Alligator mississippiensis: one gene and its partner. The protein of the gene in region 2 purifies or fractionates together with the protein of the main gene of each other region. This does not show direct contact. Links are inferred from orthologs where the notes say so. Each region holds a gene or a part of one and is shown on either strand. Other genes may lie near its edges.

Region 1 (10,411 bases), on a different chromosome or scaffold from region 2:
TTATATCTACAAGCAAGAAAAGTTGCAGTCTGAGAATACACCTCTCTTCTCTCTGTGCGTTTTTAAATCCAGTCACAGGCAGCAGTTAATTCTACGACCTCCTGTGACAAAGAAGTTCACAGAGCAACTGTATGTGACATTAAATACATTTTTCTTTTCTTCTTAAAAATGTACGTCTTGTTAATATCACAAAGGGAACCTTTACTGAGTATATCTTATTAATAAGTTCAAAAAGATTTTAAGGCCAAAGAGTTTAGCATTCCTCAAAAACCAGACTTGTCAGAGAGTCACATTACTCACATTAAACACTCAATATTACAAGAGCTTGTGACTGGAACAGAGTAATTGTAATTATTTGGGTCTTTTGAGGCAGGAAGGATAAGTTTAACATAACCATATTGGGTACAACCCTACTCAGGCTGAGCCCATTCCCAGTGGGCATAAAAGAAATCTCTTTTACAAAGTTCAGGGCCTTGCCACACACAAAATGTGCATGCAGGCTTAGTTCCAAAATCAAGTCTTACATACACTAACATTAGTCCAGAGAAACCCCACTGGAGACTGTAAAAATTTACACCACTGTAACTGGGCAGAATCTTACTGCTTGTCTTCTTATACACTATAAGTGTATACTTATACACTTCTTTTACACTTTGTATACAGCACAGAGGAACTAAGTACCTTCTCATTCCACTCTTAAATCCCTTGTTATTTTTTAATGCAGAAAGACAAAACACAGGAAAACACATTATGTCAACAGCTGGTTCCTGAAGTACAGGAGACTTAGTGGTTATTTACTGGCTCAGTCAGCAACAACATACAGAATAACAAAATTAGTTAACCATGCATGATTCATTCTGATCTATTTAGAATCAGCTGATCTGGAAAGAAAGAAGGAAAAAAAAGAATTTTTTTCACTCATTTGCTGACTCTTTGACCTTATTTACATTTAAAAGTTTTTTCCTTCATTTTTTTCATTAAAAACTTATCAATGTCCTATATTTTGTTGCATTTTATAATGCTGCTTCTGCTCTATTGTTTGTTCATAGTTCAGCACCTTAATCTGGGAAAATATGCTATAGTGAGAAAATATTTCTACTACATCTGAACTTGTATTTTCCCTTAATTGGCTGTAGGCATTCTGACACCATTCTGTGTTCAAGATCAACATTACTGCATAAAATGGGAGGGAGAAATTCTTAACAGCAAGATAGTCTTATGGCCACCAAATTATCCCTCCAGGATGACAGCTTTGGCACAGTGAAAGTAGAACAGTCATGATCAAACACAGTGGACCATAAAACATGTGGAGGTGTACTCCTGCTGGGCATGGCTCCAGAAAAGCCTGTCATTGCTAGTCTGCAAAAAGTTCCTTTTTAAGAGGGAAAGTTAGTGCTGGTCCAGTCAGTGTTAAAGGCTGAGCTCTTCTGACAGAGCTTATGATATTTTCCTGGAACACAAAACAATAATGTGAATGGCAATCAGAATGACCATGGTAAAATTTTCTGCACTCTTTAGGTAGTGGAAAGCATACAATGAAGCCACTACTTCTGTCTTTGTACCCATCTTGACTATCTTATCCACCTGCACACACACGCAAGTGAAGTTCTTTTAAGGGTGTTGTTAGATGGACAAACACCCACGTGATCCACAAGATAAACTCTAGAGATTTCAAATATGAATCCATAGTGTCAAAAACATTCTGACCTATTAAGGTATTTCTGAGCTGAGTTAGGCAATTTAGAATCTGCAAGTCAAACATTTTGCCACTATGAAAATGTTAGTTGCGTAATGGATTTTCACAATGAAAAGTTCATTAACCCATCTATTTTTATTGCCTGAGTGGAATATGCAATTTCACCATATACCATCAAATCCATAACCTGAGTAAATAAATTGTAAAATAAAAATAATTTTTAAAGACTATTTGGGGGAAAAAAACTACTGTATTATTGTAAGAGTTTACTGTGGCTTTAGAAAACCCTTTAACTTAATACCTTGGGAAAATTATGAGATTTTCCCCAGTAGTGCAACATGTGGTTTTAAAGTCTAGGTTAGTGCTAACAGTGAGAGACAGGCTGGGGATTGATATTTGATATTCTGACAATATCAACCCCCCAAATAAACAAACAACCCCCCCCAAAACCTTTTTTCTACATTTTCTTGCATGCTAAATCTGATTTCTCAGAATTTTGTTAGGAGAAAAAAACACCTTATCAAAACAGCCATTCATAGCATGGAGCATAATAAAAATGATACTGTATGTGCAAATGCAATTTATCAAAAACTTTGAGCTAACAATGTGTGGTTTTATATCACACACTGAAAGCTGTCTTATAGTAGTAGATAACTGCATAACAGACTTTCGCCCCCAACGTAATGGATTTTTAGCCTCAACATAAAGAAAATGCTTAAGAAAGATCACGTAACTTGTTTTGATCTGTACTTCCTGTCTCATACATGTGGTTATTAATATAGTGCCATTTTGAGCCATCTTTAATGGAGTAATTTATGCCTCAATTTTATCTTGCCATTCAGATCGCTCATTAGCTTAAGTCATTAAACTGAGGAAATTGTGTGCCTGGCTGCAGGAACTGTAGAAAACAGATTTTAAATGGCTTATCCAATTCAGACAGTGTTTTTTGTTTTTGTTTTTTTTTTAAGTGACTCTCGCTCTAAAGTGATCATCCTTAAAACTGGTCGGTTTTCCTCCCCCTGGATACTAAGTGACAGAACTTTAATTTGCAGGAAGGATACCAACAACCTCTTCCTTTCCCTTACCCCCCCCCACACACACACACACTTCAGCCCTAGTGTTCAGGTTTAAGGCCAAGTCTCTTGCCGTGGAAGCAGAGGAAGTTAAAGAAAGGAATGCCAGTCTGCAACCTACTCTGACCTGCAGATGGACCTGTGGCTCGAGGATTGGGCTTTCATGTCACCTCAAGACCCACAGATGAGCCGTGGCAGAAAGCATCCTCGTGTGGAGGGATCGTGGCCACCGACTCTCCAGACACATAACCAAAGAACGAGACCTCTGGCACTGAACCTCCCTAACCTGGCTTGCCAGCTCTCTCTCTGCAACACCTGGCATGTCACCTCATTCAGAAGGGCTATACTAACCTATTCTTGAGGTAGGTTGTCATCGGCCCATTCCCATTGCATCTCGGCCTTTTTGCGACTAAGATCAAGTGTGACTGGGGGCATCTGAACCCCAAGGCCTCCAGGAAGAAACCTGGCACATCACGGGAGCTAGAAACTAGGCAAGCGACCGCTCGTGTCATGGGTGGCTGGGACCGTAAAACAGCGGATGGTGGGCTGAGACAGGAGGCACCTGGCTCTTTGCTTTCACTTGCGGACACTGCAAGATCTTTTATTAGATCAACTAAACGGCTGGGAAATTTGTTCTTTGCAAGCTTCTGGGCACAGACTCCCTTCATCACTTGCAGAAATGCAAAAAAATCAAGAACTCTTGGTTCCAAACCGAGACCTTTTATGAGACCAACTAAGAAACGGCAAAAAAAAATCATCGTTTGCTGCATGTTTGCCGGGCTCACGCGCCCCTCATCAGGCTCAGGGGAAGCTCAAGATGGTAAAGAGTCCCCATAGGTAGGAAATACGTAGGACCCAAGAGTTGGAGCCGGTTGCACTCCTTTTTGCCTCAGAACGCCCCGGCTGCCACATGCATCCCTTCGCCACTCGGGCATTTTTTTGACTCTGAAAAAATCCCCAGAGCTGCTCCCAGACCCTGCCAGGTATTAAGGCAGCAGCTCCCTCTCTGTCCCTCCAAGGCAGAGTTTGGATGATGGCTTGCACAGGACGGCGTGCATCCTGCTTCAGGCCGGGGGCGCCCCTCCGCGGGAAATCTGTGCCCTCAGCAGCCAGCCGCGCAGCAGGTGCCAGCCCATGCCGCAGGGTGGGGCGCCCCCCACGTCCCGAGCCCCTGCACCCACCTGCTGCTCCCGCCGGGCTTGGGCGGCACCGACCTGCTCCTGCGCCCCGGGGTCCCCCTCGCAGCCGCAGTCCGCGGGCGGCAGCACCTCCGCCCTGGATCCCATCGCCCCGAGCCCGAGCCGCGCGGCCGCAGCGGGAGGAGGCGGCGCCGCTGCCGCCGGCTGGGCAGGGCGCGCCCGGGCGTCACGGGGTGGCAGGGGCGGGAGCGGCGGCCGCGCAGGCGCCGAGGGGAGCCGCTCCCTCCCGCCGGCGCCGGAGCCCCTGGGCAGCGCCGTGGGGAGGGGGGAACGAGGGAGGGAGGCAGGGCCGTAATTTCTCCTCACGCTCCCCCTGCTCCGGGAGCCGGGCGGGAAGGTAAGGGAAGGGAGCCCCGCGGGGCAGGAGCGGCCCCTTCCCAACCCAGTCGTGACATCCCTGCAGGGCAGCAGCCAGGCAGGGAGAGCTGGGGGGCGGTTCGGGCCTGAGCTTGCCCTTATCACCGCACAGGCGGGCGAGGGCACCTGCGGTAGCTTTTAGATCAAGAGTCGGGAAAATTGTTGCTTTGCACAAATGCCCGTCAAAGATACCGCTTTATATATATATATATATATATATATATATATACATACACACACACACATAATATTTCGTGTTCCAGGTCAAATGAGTCAAATCGCATTGACTGAGCAGAACTCGAGCTTCCAAAAATGGCATCGATGAAGCAGGGGCGACCCTGAACAATGTGTGCCTGAAGAGGCTGCGGGGGCACGGTGGGAGCTCCCACAGGTGGTCGCAGCAGCGTCAGCAGCGGGGGTGGCTACCCACAGATGCCACTGGCAGTGTTGGCAACAGCCAGCGGAGATCAGCGATGGCCTGCAGATGGCAGCAACGGTGTTGGTGGCAAGGGGGGGTGGTGGCAAGCAGCGACTGCCTGCAGGCACCACCAGCACATGGCGGTGGCCAATCACAGGGGGTGCGTGTGCACCCCCTACGCGTCACCAATGAGCACGACTCCATCGTTTTAAACGCCGTGTACGGCACTGCAACTGGCAACATCCTCCACCCCAGACCTATCACCAGAGCCATCCCTAGGGGTGTGCACGGCCCAGGGCACATTAGCCTGTGCACATATTGCTTCCCATCCACTCTGATGTTCCCCGACACACATTTGCATTTTCACAGACCTGCATTTTGCATGTTGGCTTACACTTCTATTCCACCCAGGAGAGCACAAACCAGCAGACTCTCCCTGCGCCTGAAGAAGGGTGTTTGTTCCTGAAAGCTTGTAAAGAAAATTTTGTCCAAACTATTTAGTTGGTCTAATAAAAGATACTGCATTTACCCCCAAAAACCTATATGATCTGGGACTTCAAGTACAGGCAACCCCTACTTAACGTTGTTTTGCTTATTGCTATTTTGCTATGACGTTCATTTTAAATTGATACCTGATTCCACTTAGCGCTCAGCAAGTTTCATTATAACGCTCGTAGTCGCTACCTTGTATCATTAAAAAAACTTGCAGTCACCATCTTGGATCTCAGTTACTTTAGGTTTTGCCTAATGCTCGTTTTGCTTAACGCTGGGTTTTTCAGGAACCAATTAAGACCACTAAGTGGGGGTTAGCTGTACTCCCAGACCTATAGGCAGGCATCTTGTGTGCAGGCCAAAGCCCAGAGGTTTTGGGGTTTGGATGCCCCCAGATACTACAGGCAAGCATCCTGCATCCTAGACGCGTTAGTCCGGGACTTCAGTTATTCCCTACACTCAATCTTAGCTCACAAGAGGATGAAAAGCAATATCACATTCACCCAAAGAACCTTGTCTGCCTGTGTCCTCAGACCAGGGTCGGGCAATTATTTCGGGCAGAGAGCCGCTTACTGAGTTTTGGTAAGCCATTGAGGGCTGCATGATAGGCAGCCAGGGCAAATAAATATTAATTTTCTAAATTTTGTAGGGGCCCCATGAGCCGGATAGAATGGCCTGGCAGGCCGCATCTGGCCCACGGGCTGCATTTTACCCACCCCTGCCTTAGACCAACACGGCTATAATCAACAACCCTTTATCACCTCCCAGCTCTCATGTCACAGAGTCAGAGAGGTCAGGCTGGAAGGGACCGCCAGAGGGCATCCAGTGCAACTCCCTGCCTGAGGCAGGATCAGCTCTATCCAAACCATCCCATACAACCATCCTGTAAACTCAACGTAAGATCAACCCTGACACAACATAGACCTAATACCCTAGCCTTGGAACCCTCCGCTCAAGCTGTGCCTCTGGGCTGGAACTCGCTTGTGGTGGACTTGAGACAGCTTTCAAATCTCACTGAGAGGTTCAGTACCTCCTCAGTGACTCTCCAGGATGGCTGGGACAGCGGGAAACTGTCATTGTGAGTGAGAGGTAAACAAGGATGAAGGGAAGATACTTTTTCTGCTCTATGGGCTGCTGCTACACATTCACTGAGTCATAAAAATAGGGTTGGAAGGGACCTCAGGAGGTCATCTAGTGTCCAACCCACTGCTCAAAGCAGGACCATCCCCAACTATATCATTCCAGTCAAGGCTTTGTCCAACCAGGTCTTAAAAACCTCCAAGGTTGTCAAGTGTTACATATATTATGCAAGTGACTAGTCCACTGCAAAATAAACGTAGATGGGCCACCATGCAAAGTAATTACAGCATGATAAAAAAAATGATTTGCCAGCTATAAAAAGAATCAACCAACTATAAAGTTAGTGCTTGAAATTGTGTAACAACTTCATAGCTGGATTCTAGCTACATGATGATGTAACAGGGTCCTATATAGATTAGCTAAGTCAGAGAAATGGAGCAGAAGTTTTCCTAAGCAGCAGGCTTATGACAGCGTCTGCTACAACATCTCTGATTTGGTTACTCTACAAGGTTCATCTCTACCCTGCCACACTTCAAACTAAGACGACTAACTGCCTCTCTCCAGGAGAGCTTCTGGCCATTGTTAGAACATGAAACTCAGAGCAAGCCTATCATTTCTGCCTGTTGTTTTCTGTCTGAAAGCAGAAGCAGGAAGTACAACAAACTCTCTTCAGCAACCACCCTTAGATCAAAGTCCAAAACAAGCACTGCATTTAAATGAAGCGAGGAGTGATAATACACATGACTTACATATGGCAAATTATTCTGTTAATATTTATAATGATCTAAAAACTAGTTTCATAGTTTCATAGTTTGAAGGGTTGGAAGGGACCTTGACAGATCATTAAGTCCGACCCCCTGTCATGGCAGAAAAGAGCACTGGGGTCAAACGACCCCAGCAAGGTGTTCATCTAGCCTCCTCTTAAAGACCCCCAGGGTAGGAGCCAGCACCACTTCTCTTGGAAGTTGGTTCCAGATTCTAGCCGCCCTGACTGTGAAGTAGCGCCTCCTGATGTCTAGTCTGAAACTAACCTCTGCCAGCTTGTGACCGTTATTTCTAGTCACTCCTGGTAGTGCTCGGGGGAACAGGGACTCCCCCAATGCCTGCTGGTCCCCTCTGACTAGTTTGTAACAGGCCACTAGATCCCCCCTCAGCCTTCTCTTGTGGAGGCTGAACAGGTTCAGGTCCTGTAGCTTCTCCTCGTAGGGTCTGCCCTGCTGCCCCGATCATGCGGGTGGCCCTCCTCTGGACCCTCTCCATGTTGTCCACATCCATTCTGAAGTGCGGTGCCCAGAACTGGAAGCAGTACTCCAACTGCAGCCTGACCAGTGCTGCATAGAGGGGGAAGATCACCTCCTTGGACCTGCATGAGATGCATCTTTGGATGCATGACAAGGTACTTTTGGCCTTCCTGATCGCATCCCCACACTGTCGACCCATGTTCATTTTGGCATCAATAATGATTCCAAGATCCTTTTCTGCCTCTGCACTGACAAGAAGGGAGTTCCGCAGCCTGTAGGTATGCTGCTGGTTCTTCCTCCCCAGGTCCATCACCTTGCACTTGTCAGTGTTGAAAACCACCCTGTTCTCATCTGTCCGCCCCCGTATCCTGTCTAGGTCCAATTGCAGCCTAAGGTTTGTTAAACCAGGAAATTCAGAGCTAAGGTTAAGCTTAAAAGAAAATGTCCCCCAGGCTTTTGTATCAAGCTAGCATTGACAATTTCATTATAGCAATCATATTATTGTTTAACTTTTCATTCAAGGCAAATACAATAATAAAATCAGTTAAAGTGTTTGAAATACAAAGTAGGAAGCAAGGCTTTCAGGTTAACATTACCTCCTATTCCCGTTCTCCTTTGTTCTGTCATCGTCTATAGGGACATGCACTGTCACTTTCCTAGAAGTTATTAACTGCCCCATTTAGAAGGAAAAAAGACATGGTTAGTTTAGATGGTAAGTTGTTGAATTCCAATCCCTCTTTCTTTAAGACGGAGTGCAACAAACACACAAAAAAAGAGAGAAAAGGAAAGATTAAAAAACACTTTTGAAAGAGCCACTTGGATACTAGCTGAAGAATTGCCGCAGTACAAAAAGAAATTCCCCACAAATCACACACCATTAGTTTTGACATACCACCCTTCCCTGGAACCTATACAGAAAATCCGCAAACAATTGCAACCCATACAAGATTCATAGATTTCATAAACATTCAGGCTGGAAGGGACCTCGGAAGATCATCGAGTCCAGTCCCCTGCCCCAGGGGCAGGAAGTCAGCAGGGATCATAGGATCCCAGCAAGATAAACATCCAAATGTCTCTTGAAGGTGTTCAAAGTAGGTGCTTGAACCACCTCTGGCATCAGTCTATTCCAAACCTTGGGGGCTCGGATAGTAAAGAAGTTCTTCCTTATGTTCAGCCTGAAACGGTCATGGAGGAGTTTGTGACCGTTTGACCTTGTCATCCCTTGGGGCACTCTGGTGAACATCTGTTCCCCCAGATCCTGGTAAGCATCCCTGATAAACTTATAGGTGGCCACCAGATCACCCCTGAGTCTGCACTTTTCCAGGCTGAAGAATCCCATGGCTCCCAAGAAGAAGACCAGTTCTTAAAGAGATTTTTCCAGAACCACACATCCTAGCCTTTAAACAAGCACTGAACCTCACCAAACTTATCACCAGAAGAAAACTTCCTATGGCCCAAAGCACACCAAATGGATCTAGACCATGTCAGGACAAGACATGTAAAACCTGCAAACATATCTCCACTACCCCCACAATTACTACACCCTACCACAGAACCATCACCATTCCTGTATTTTATACCTGCACCTCCAGAAATGTACTGAATGCCTTGATGGAAAATATGTAGGAGAAACCAGACAACAACTGCATACCAGAATGAATATACACCAAACATCATCAAAGACAAAAATACCCAATTACTTGTGGGTGCACACTTTTCACAAGACAACCACTCTCTCTCCAATTTCTTAGTTCTAATCCTCAAACGGAATTTACAAAACACCTTTTGTAGATAAGCCTATGAACTTCACTTCATAAATCTACAGGATACAAAAAATCATGGACTGAATATAGACATTGGATTTATGGCACATTATAACTTGCCTGTAAATCAATAATCTCAGGTAACCTCTCTACATTTTATCAGCTACATTCTGTCTCCAGGTCAACTTTCCCCACTTCCCCCCCACCACATACCTGCCTCGCACATATTGTTTCCCATCCACTCTGAACTTCCATGCCATGCATTTGCATTTTCACAGACCTACATTTTACATATTGGCTTACACTGCTATTCCATCCTGGAGAGCACACAAGCACCAGCAGACTCTCCCTGTGCGTGAAGAAGGCTGTTTGTGCCCGAAAGCTTGCAAAGAATTTTTTTTTCCCAAACTATTTGGTTGGTCTAATAAAAGATATCACATCTACCCAAAGAACCTTGTCTGCCTATGGTCTTATATCAACATGGCTATAACAAACACCCCCAAGATTTAAAAAAATGCAGCTTATACTTGTCACCATTCTTATTACTGCCTCCCAGGACTACTGTAAAAGGTTGCCTTCTCTTGTAGCTAAACCAAGCTCTCATGATGGTATGTATATCCTAGCTGTTCCTAATATTTTGGAGTCCTATTCAGGGGCTTGCAAAACAACTTCTAGTCACTCATAACTAGATGTGATACCAGTTCCACCTGACTCTGGAATTAATGACTGTCGATAGGACTCATAACCCTACTTATAAGGGCTACAGCCCCATTTGGGGTTGCAACCCCTCTTTTGGAAACCACTGGTCTACTGGGAACCACTGATGGATATTGATGTGCTCTGTGGTTCAGTCTGCAAGCCTCTGATGTGACCACCCCCTTCACCCTTCTACACTGTTGTGTCAGATCAACCACAATGATTCTTGGAGCTTGAGAGAAATGCAATGTTCCTGGGTTCCTATGTGCCATGCCAAGCAGAGTCCTAGAAACAGGTCTAGGGTACACTGCAGGATGAAATGCCCTTTGTCAAAGGCCCAAAGAGCAGACTTTAGACTGGTATTGCACCTGGCTTTGAAGGAGGACATTACATAGC
Region 2 (10,204 bases):
ATGTATTGTTCTCTAATTCCAAGCCCTATCTGAAATAGTATTTGCTAATACGAAGTCTAAGTGCCATCTCCATATCTAACCTCATAGCCTTAAGATACAACAACATGAGTGAGAGCTACATAAATTGACTACATTTAACCTAGCTGGATCAGATGGCAGTTGAAATGCACAATCCTTTGGATAAAAAAATCAACATATTAGTTGCTACTTCAGTTTCCTGAGTTCCTGATTACCCTTATTAACAGGTGAAGCCAACTCATCTGAGATAATCTGTAGCCTAAGATTTAATCCTTAGAAGTACCATTCTTAGAGTTCTGGTCAATCCACTATAGTCTACAAGTGGGTCCTCCTTTTGGTGTGTATGCCGTTGCAAATGTTCTCTAGTTAATAAATAACCCAACCAAGCATTTAGCTGAAAAGACATTTAACATCAGCTGGAATAAGTGACAGATAAAATTATGATAGAGAACATTTACTAAAGAAGATTAAAGATGACTGAGAACAGGAATCTGAGCTGTAATGAATGCAGTACAACTGCTTGTTTACAGTGATTGCTGCATTCCAGCGGAAGGAGGTGCATGACAAAAATGCAGCATCCTGATGACAGCTTCCATTTTCTTAATAACATTGCATCCTTTCTAGCATTATTACATCAAATGTAAAATGTATGAAGTAATATCCATAATATACAATAACAAAGTAATGTAATTATATATAATGTATAGCGATGGATAGATTTGATAAGGTAGACATTAATTTTTCTAGCCAAGATCACCAAAAGATTGGAAATACAAAGATAAATCTAACACTATTTTGTATTCTTTATGATTATATGTCTTTAATTTAGTGAGGCCATACATATCAAATGGCTTGTCTATGTCTTATGTGGAGCTGGTATCTTCATTGAAACACAAATACTGGTATATCATTTTTCTAACCAAATGTGAAAAGCTAAAATTGATAAAACCAGCTTATTATCTAAGGAACTTTTATCACAATTTAGGGCATGCTTTCTCTTCCTTTGAAGTCAGTGGGTGCATCTACAAGTGCACATTTACTGTGCAGTAACCAAAATTACTGCTCAGTATGAGTGCACCTTACACATGCATGCCTACTGTGCAGTAAATACAGCGACTTATGCTGACTTGACCATAAATTTGATACCTACATCATGCAGGTATCAAATTTATGCCTGTTTAGTTACTACACAGTAATGCATGTGTAGACACCTTATTGCGCAGTAACACTTTTTGTGTGGACTGTCTTGGGACTAACTTTGAAGCCTGCATATGTAGATGTTGGTCTCTTCTCGCTTACTGCGCAGTAACTTACTGTGCAGTAAATTTAAGCCAGTGTAAATGCATGTGTAGACACACCCAATGAAAGTTTTATCCTTGCTCTCAATAGGAATGTGATCAGCTCCTTAGCTTCAGACAGATCTATAGGTGTTATTTCCTTGATAATTGGTGATAACTACTTAAGAATCATTTTAGTCTACCAGGTATTGTTATTTCTTACTAATTTATGATTAAATATCAGTTAGGGTAATATAGTGTCATAAATTAAATTATGCTTCACATATCCTTTTTTTACAGCCTAATCAGAAAAGACAAACAACAGCAAGTCAAGCCACAAACAATAGTTCAGGAAAAGGAAGGTTTAGAGAGATGGCTGAGTGAGAAAAAGGGGAAGGAAAGGGTTGTGTAGATGTAGAAAAGATTCCAGGAGAGATTACTGGTAACACAATGAGGGGCACAGTTTAAGGAACTGAATAGAACAGAACAAAGCCTAGGAAAGAGGAAAAGATCTTCCAGTACAAAAAAAAAAAAAAAGAAAAAAAGAAAGAGAAACAGGCTCTTTCAGATATATGTGGCTGCATTTTGGAGACAGCAGAAGGCAGGGTAGAAATACACCTTATAGGATAGAGAAAACCATTGTATGTGAGAGTGAGTAGGAGGATGTACATTGTAGGAGGTGAAAACATATGGGGAAAGAAAGCTGTAGAGGAAGGCAAGCGTATGCGTGATCTTAAAGATAAGGGAAAGAAGCTTGAGTTCAGGGCACTAAAAGACAGGAAGCCATCTAAGAGATTTGAGGAAGTGGTTGATGGATCCAAAGAAACAGAAGAGTAGATGACATGAAAGCCCCATTTTGGACAGACACTACTTTAGCAGATAACTGAGAAACAGGATGGCCAGAGAAGACAGGATTACAAATAGACAAAGCATGAACTAGAACCAGATAAAGAAACTATCACATATTAGCTTTGCTTCCAGATCTGCAATAAAAACTAATGGAATTACTTTGATATAAAGTCACAGTGCACATCTCTGTTTGTCAGAAGCTAATATCTTGGATGGTTTTAATTTGTTCTATTCTTTTTCAAAATAACTCCAAATAAATATGTCTACCTTCATGATTATTTGCTTGCCAAACTTCGTTTTTTAATTAAATTTACTTCTGAGTTACATGAGTGCAGAAAAGAGGTAAACTTCAAAGTTGTTCTCTACTGTCGTTTAAATGGCAAACTATATTTTTCATTTGGTAGTTTAAGTTTTATATTACATGATTTAGCTAAGGGCAAATATTTGGTATGGCTGAATTATAAACTTCTCAAGAAGCAGGTTTATAATGGAAGTGGAGACAATCTTCAATAAGGCATTATAAACATTAAATCAAATTTCAAAGCAGAGACGGATCTGAACCAAAAGCCTAGAGGTGACCACTCCATGAACTTTGGCACAAAGTAGATTCAGATTCAGATGTTATAACCCCAGCCAGCCCCAACTAGGAAATCACTTTATTGATATAAAGATGTAAAGTTAAGCACATATGAAAGCATTTGCAGGATCAGTACAATAAAATGCAATAACCAAAATGTGAGAAATGGATTGCAGAACACAGGCTTCTGAGTATTTCATTTGATTCTAGTTTATATTTTAGATGATTAAAGATTCAACATGTTCAGATAATAAATAAATGGAAACTGGGGGCAAGGTGCTTTCAAACAATATTTGATGATGCTCATACATGGATGGAAGAGTGTGCATATGGATGTCTGCAAGAAAGAGATGAACAGAAAAAACATTGATGACATATGATAAGAGAAAAGGATGTTCGTATGCTGAGTTGTAGTACAATATCATGCACACTCAGAATAATATAAAGGAAATCTAACTCAAGATCTCAGTTTAGTTCTGAAGAAAGGAAGGAGTCCTGCTTTAAAGGAGGTTGCTGCTGTCTGGTAGCAAAATTGGATCTGTAGCCTAGTGCACACGTCTCTATAAGGGAAAAGGAACCATAGATTCTCTATATCTTAGTACACAGCTATCCAACTGGTGTCCTGCAGGCCACATACAGCTCTCAAGGGGTTACATTGCAAACCTCCCCCCCCTCCAGGCTCCTGCCAGTCTGCCACTCCCTCTGTCACTCCAAATGCAACAGCAGCCAGGGTCTCTGGCACCTTTGCCCCCCACCCCTTCCTGTCTCCAGTCCAGGGGGCAGGGAAGTGTGGTACAGGGTGATTTGGGGACCTAAGGATGCACTGCAGCTGTGGAAGGAGTTGCCAAGTGGGTGTGCAGTACCGCAGTGGGCACCATGCAAGTACACAGTGCAGCAATCAGGGATTGGGGACTGAGAGGCCAAGAGCCACAGGTTATGTGGCCCCCAGCCCCTTAGATGTAAGACAGCCCTGCCTTAGATTGTTGTAAATAGTCCTGGGATGTGGATTTAGTGCTCACCAGACAGGTGAGGTAGTGAAAGCAGCAATCATCACTTTTTTTTGCAAAATAGTACATGGATATTGCCTCCACATACATGGTGAATCTATTTGCTCTGTATTTACATGACTTATTTTAATTTTGATTATTTACATTTCTTTTAAAATATACAAAATAATAGTACTCTAAAGCTGAATATACATTTAATACATGAAAAAAGAACTTGCGTATCTGTTAGGAAAACAAAGTCAAAAGACAGATGGGTTTTTGTTTGGAGCACCCTAGAATAATGCATTTGGGAATGGATTTATTCTCTCTGTGACTTCATAGAGATGCACAACAGAACAACACTAGTCCCAAAGGAAGACAGCCATCATTTTCAGATGATGTGTAACATTTTAATACACTTATTCTTTGGGTGTTTGTTCAATAAGTAAAAATAAGACTATACTCAGCCTCTGAGACTGTTTTAAACACAAGTTATTAAAAACTCAAACAGACAACCTTAAATATGGAATTTACTAACTCAAAAAGTAGATACACCTCCTTGAAAAAGCTACATTGTGTCTCCAAAAGTGTCAGCCTAGCAGTTATATTAGGGATAGCACCATCTTAGGGGTGTGCTACACTGTGTCCACTCAGCATCTGTTCTTTAATAATCAGAGCAAAGTCATCCCAGACCCCCTCCCCAAGCTGCTGGAATATCACTAAGAAAGGCGGGGAAATCCGGTGGATCTTAATGTGCCATCCATAAAATATACATCACAATCGATCAAGAGGTATATGATGGGTGCCGAGACTGGCTGAAGACAGGGAAATGAGAAAAGGCTGAGACTAAACTTACTGTATTGACGTCTGACTAGCAGCTGGCAGCCAGCTCGTGATGAGCCAGGAACCAGTCTGCTCGAAGGCATAGGTAAGGGTTGAGATGGAGGAAAGAGAAGAAGTGGGTATTCAGCTATGATTAGGAGAACAAATTGCAGCTGAACTTTGGATATGATGAGACTGGAATCAGGAAACAGAAGAAGACTATCTGGTCCTGTGCCTGGCATTCAGGAACAACAATTATGATAGAGGGCATACTATAAAATAGTGATGAGCTAGATAGTCAGTTCTTTAAAGGACAGGACCATCTGCTCAGAAAGACAAAAGAATGGATAATGGAAATGAGGTGAGATTGAGTCAAGTTTGGAGGAGTCTAAGGCTGAGTGTGATTTCTCAGCAGGGATACAACATGTTTGTAGCTTTGTTGCATGCAACTGCAGACTTGTACAACTGTGTCTGAAAATTATTTCAACCACAGTTACAGGGGACAGGGATTTATGTTCTACTGCACAAGGCAAATGACCCTGGCCTCAATAGCGTCAAATCATTTTCTCACAGCATCCTCTAAAAAAATCTCTTTGTGGAACGAATTCCCTAATATGCTTTGGTTGCTGTGGTGGTGGTGGTAAGTTTTAACAGTGCTTGGCCCTGCTGTACACTAGTAACAAATTGTTTCCCAGCACCGGGGAGGAAGAAGGACCATGCAGCTGTAGGCTGTTTCCTAGAGCAGACCCATCCACCTTTCAGCCCTTAGAGGCCTTTCTCTACCCCTACCACAGCTCCCACAATAAAGGCAGTCCCGTTGAATCCAGGAGCTGCATGTGCCCTGCGTAAAGGGCTCCAATGGGGAGGTCTCCAAGGCAGGCCAGTAGGGCAAAGCAGGGATGGCAGCCGGACAGAAAGGAAAGAAAGATGCCAAGGCCCCTGTAATCCCAAGCCTGTCCCGCTGCTCGCCAGCCAGCGCCTGTGCCCTGGTGCTGGGGGCAGAGCGATGCAGTGATCTGCTTGCCAAGTATCTGGTGCTGGGCATTCCCTGCCCCAGAAGACACAGGCGGCCCCCTGGCATGGAGGGGGCAGGACAGGTTGTGGTAAGGGGCGAGAAGACACCCAGGCTGGGGAAGGAAGACTTCGAAGATGGGACGGGGAGGGGAGGCGAGCCCCTGGCAGCGGGCGGCGGCGGGCAGGAGCGGGGGAGTCTCCTCGCAGGCGCTGCAGGGGGCGCTGGGGGAGCCCCGGCCATGCCCCGGCTGCCGCCTGCCCCTCACCCCGGGGCGGCCGCGGGCTGGCGGGTCGTCCCTGGCTCCGGGCTGATCCTGCCCGGCTGCCCGCACCTCGGGGGGCGAGGAGGAGCCGGCGGAGGAGGAGGAGGAGGGCGGGCAGGGGGAGGGGCCGGGGCTCGGCAAGCGGCGGCTCCTCTGCCTCTCTTATTGCCGCGAGTCGCGCTCCCGCTCGCAGGCTGCGGGAAGGAGCCGCCCGCGAGCTTCGCACTTGAGCCGCCCGCCCCGGCCAGGTTGGTGGGGCAGCGGCAGCGGCAGCGGCAGCTCCCGGCCGGGGAAGCGGGTGCCGCGAGCCGGACGGCGCAGGGCAGGGCGCACGAGGCAGGAGGTCGCCCGAGGGCTCCCCCCTCATCGCCTCTCCACTCCCTCGTGTCCCCGCAGGCTCGCCACCCGCCCCTGCCCCCGCCCCCGCCCCCGCCCCGCCAGGATCCGGGCTCCGCCGGGCCGGGCATGGCCGGGGCAGCGCCGCCGGGGCGCGGAGCGAGCGCGGGGCCCGGGAGCTGAGCCGCGGGTGCGGGCGCCCGAGCCGCGACGCCGGGACTGAGCCGCCGCCGCCGCGGAGCTCGCCTCTGCCCCCGCGCCCGCGGGAGGATTTGGGATCGGAGACGAGCCGGGTGCCGAGGGGGCGCTCGGCTCGGGGGTTTGTGCTTCCCCTCTGCTTGCTGCCTGCCCACGAGGGAAGATGGCCTGGGGACTCCTCCTGCACTGCGCGGCGCTCGCCCTCGCCCTCGCCCTCGCCCGGGCTTTGCGGAGCGGTAAGTGGCGGGGCCGGGCAGCTGGGAGCGAGCGAGCGCCACGACCGCCGCCGGCGGGGCCGCCCCTGGGCAGCGCCGCGCTCGGGGCCCCGCAGGTGTCGGCGATCCCTGCCCCGCGCCCGCGCCCGCGCCGCCCTCACGCCTCCGCACCGGCAGCCCGCGGCTCCCCGCGCCGGAGCGGGCAGGGGACAGCGGAGGGTCCGGCCGGGCGGGGATCCCCTGACAAGGACTTTGGCAGAGACTTTACTTTCAGGCGACACTTGGACACGCAGCGCCGAGCCTCCCGAGCGGCCCCGCGGCGCAGCCGGGCTGGAGCAGGCTAGGGACTGTTTGACAGGAAAGAGCTCGCCTCAGTTCTTCCTCTCCCAGTAAACCCTGAGCCATTCCCATGAACTAATGATCAAATATTTACTTTGGCCTGACTGGGTTTTGAATCCAAGTGATTAAAGGAAGAGGCTTACAGTGGGATATGGTTTCAATAACAGAGACCACAAGTGGCGTGGCTGGCACAGGGAGGGAGTGGACTCCCCCTTGCTCTTCCCCGGGCGCTGGAGGAGGCTGCGGGGCTGGAGCCCTCCCGCAGCGAGCTGCCCTGTGCCAGTCTGAAGCGGGGCAGCATTAGTGAGCTCCAGTGGGGTCCCGAGGTGAGGAGTGGGCAGTGCCCCTCCTTTTCAGTCTGAAGCAGACTGTGTAGGTGGACCCCGCTGCTCCCTATTCGGGCCGGGCTTAGAGGCCAGCGTGGGAAAATCCTGGGGCTGTACCGACTGCATGGGACCGGGTGATGGGGATGTGTGGGGTGTGCTTTGGCAATAGTCTTCCTTCAGGAAGGAACAGGGAAGGCGGCGGCTGTTGCTGGAGCTAAGGAGCAGGCTCCCTGTGTATAGTCATAGACATGATGTAGTAGCCCTATCAAGGCACCAAGGCTGTTAACCTCGCCTGTGACTTTCCAGACCTACTAATGCCCTGTCCACCCTCATCCAGTACCAGTGCCTGCTGAATTAATTCATTAACCTTATTTAGTCCAAACGGCCCGAAGACATTAGAAACTGCTCTTCTTAATCAAGTGTCAGAGAGATTTCACAGAGCCGGGGAGTCTAACAGACCACATTATCTTATTATACTGTCACTTTCCCAGAAGTCGCAGATTAAAGAGCACTGGTGGTAGTGAGTGCACCTCTACATCTCCTGAAGTGACTCTGTCAAGTGACTAGAAACAGCACTGTTTTATTTCACTCATTTAACAGATGCCAGATTCTGCCATGTTGTTTGCACAGAGCTGAAGTGGATTTAATGAGGCAGGATTGCTTTCCAAGTCTGCTACACGCTGAAAATAATGCAAGGGTCTGTTGGAACCATAGGCAAAAAGATCACTAGTGGCACATTTAGGGCAGTACCTTTTGTTCTTGGCAATGGGGGGGAAATGGTTTCCAAAGCCAAAAGGCAAACAGATAATAAGCTAGTGCCATCCTAGGAATGGGTAGGAATATGCAGTCTTTGATAGCATGGGTAGGAATATCTGGTCTTTGGGAAAAAAAAAAACAAAACATAGACTCCATCACTTCCTTCCCTTATAATTTATAGCAAATGATTTCTATAATGCGTGTAGCTTTATGCATTTTTGATGCACACTTCATCTTTCATTTCCATTTGACCTGGTTTTCCTGTAATAAAATTCTGTACATTCATAAATTCATGCTGAGAGCAAGGAATGCCATTTTCCTTCCACGGGGAATCTATTAGATACAGTGTTACAATCAGTGTATACCATTATTGGGAAATAGTGATACATGGGCTTATTTATTAGTGCATACCTGCTTCTCTTCTATAGTTTATTGCCATATCTTATTGCTGAAAATGAAATATCGGTATATGGGGGAAAAGTGTTTTGGGCTGAAGATCCGCAGTAGGAAATCCATAGTAATGAAATGTGACAATGCAAGCCTATCCTGGACAATGGAACAACCAACTTGGCAAAGCCCTTTTAGCTTTGCATTACTTTCCTCTATTTAGTCTGCTAAAAAACATTATCATATTTCATTGTTTGCAAAGGAGCAAGATGTAGAAGACTAAATTTCATACTTGCATCTGGTGACTGGTAACTTTTTCAACTGTTTAGGAATAAACCTTTTGTTGCTGTTGTTTTTGGGGGGAGAAAGCGGTTCTGCTTCATTACTTTGATCTGGTCCCCAGGCATGAACAAACTTCCTTAAAGGAGTAATACTGAATGATTTCTGCTTCACTAAATGCACTTTGTTCTCTGTTAGTCTGGATTTAAAGAGCACTGATAACTTCAAATTGCTTAGATTTATGGGCTGATAAACAAAAGAAGGGTCTGCTGTGAGCAAAGTAGGGGACTACAAGACAACCCCTGATGGTCAATGACACAGGCCAGGCTTATTATCAAATAGCTGTGCAGGGGGGCAGACAGCATCTTTTTAGACCCTTTCCACTTAAAACTTGTTGCCTAATGAGATTACACTTCTCTGAGATAATTAAATCTAAAAGAAACCCCTGTGAGCCAATGTTACCATCAATTGTGAAGATACGGTTGTCTGTATTTGTGAAGTGAGCCTTTGTTAAGGAACACTGTTTTGAATCGTGGTCTCTCTAAATTAGAACCACCATTTAGAAAGATTACGCATTACTACCACCAGTTCACAGGAACTGTGATCTACTTTAACCAGTAGAACACAGTAAAAGTTTGCTATAGAGACTGTAGAAAACACAACATTTAAAACAGCAAATAGTTGACCACTTCCAGGTTACTAGATGAAGAAGTGTGATGGTTTGGGGAGAATAAACAAAATCTGTTTGTTTTCATTGCAGATAAATGTGGTGATACTATAAAAATTATAAATCCTGGGTACCTTACTTCTCCTGGCTATCCTCATTCCTATCATCCAAGCCAAAAATGTGAATGGCTGATTCAAGCTCCTGAACCCTACCAGAGAATTATGATCAACTTCAACCCTCACTTTGATTTGGAGGACAGAGATTGCAAGTAAGTGAGAGCCTCTGAAAAGGGCACCATAGCACCATCTAGTGGATAAAAATATTCATAATGTCAACTTGCTGCTTATCTACTTGGTGAAAAACAGCTGACGTGTGCAAATTTGCATGGAAAATGAATTCATGAGAGATTTGAATCTAGACTAGATTAGTGGTAAAATGTTAGTGGTAAAGACATTAAAGTTAGGTGTTGTGCTTCCTGAGCCTGAAAAACCTAGTAAGATTATGTTTGATTTAATCTTATAATCCTTCTGTCTCCTTTTCCTGGATACAGAAGCCCAATATATTTTTTCCCCGTTGAAATGCTCTCCTCAGTGTTTGCAGCCATTCAGTAGTGGTGAAGTGGCTGTGAGTGAGTGGAAAGAGGGGACTAATGCTTTGGTTTGCATTCCTCTTTAACAGTGAACTACTAAAACTATATAAGAACCATATATCATAAAATGGTTAGTTAGAGCATTTTTTAGCTAAGTGAAATCCTTCTGTAATGTTCTACTACTAAAAACTGCATTTGAATTACTTATATTTGACAGGAGAAGCCATAAATTCACGTGGCATTACAATACTACATGGAGTGTGACTAGAATGAAAGAAACACACAGCTTCTCCAATCATTCTGGGG

The links.
Region 1: the proteins of NRP1 (region 2) and FAM241A purify together in Homo sapiens (affinity purification with mass spectrometry; 3 studies listed by BioGRID and IntAct, with this or other methods). This does not show direct contact. The link is inferred for Alligator mississippiensis from reciprocal best matches to the Homo sapiens genes NRP1 and FAM241A.

What each region holds. Positions count from the first base shown.
Region 1 is NC_081825.1:126,285,278-126,295,688, forward strand, and holds the start of FAM241A (uncharacterized protein FAM241A), read right to left. Parts: upstream 4,140-10,411; 5' UTR 4,056-4,139; coding exon 3,951-4,055; intron 1-3,950.
Region 2 is NC_081828.1:193,670,873-193,681,076, reverse strand, and holds the start of NRP1 (neuropilin-1), read left to right. Parts: upstream 1-5,988; 5' UTR 5,989-6,503; coding exon 6,504-6,576; intron 6,577-9,402; coding exon 9,403-9,577; intron 9,578-10,204. UniProt on the Homo sapiens protein: Cell-surface receptor involved in the development of the cardiovascular system, in angiogenesis, in the formation of certain neuronal circuits and in organogenesis outside the nervous system. Mediates the chemorepulsant activity of semaphorins.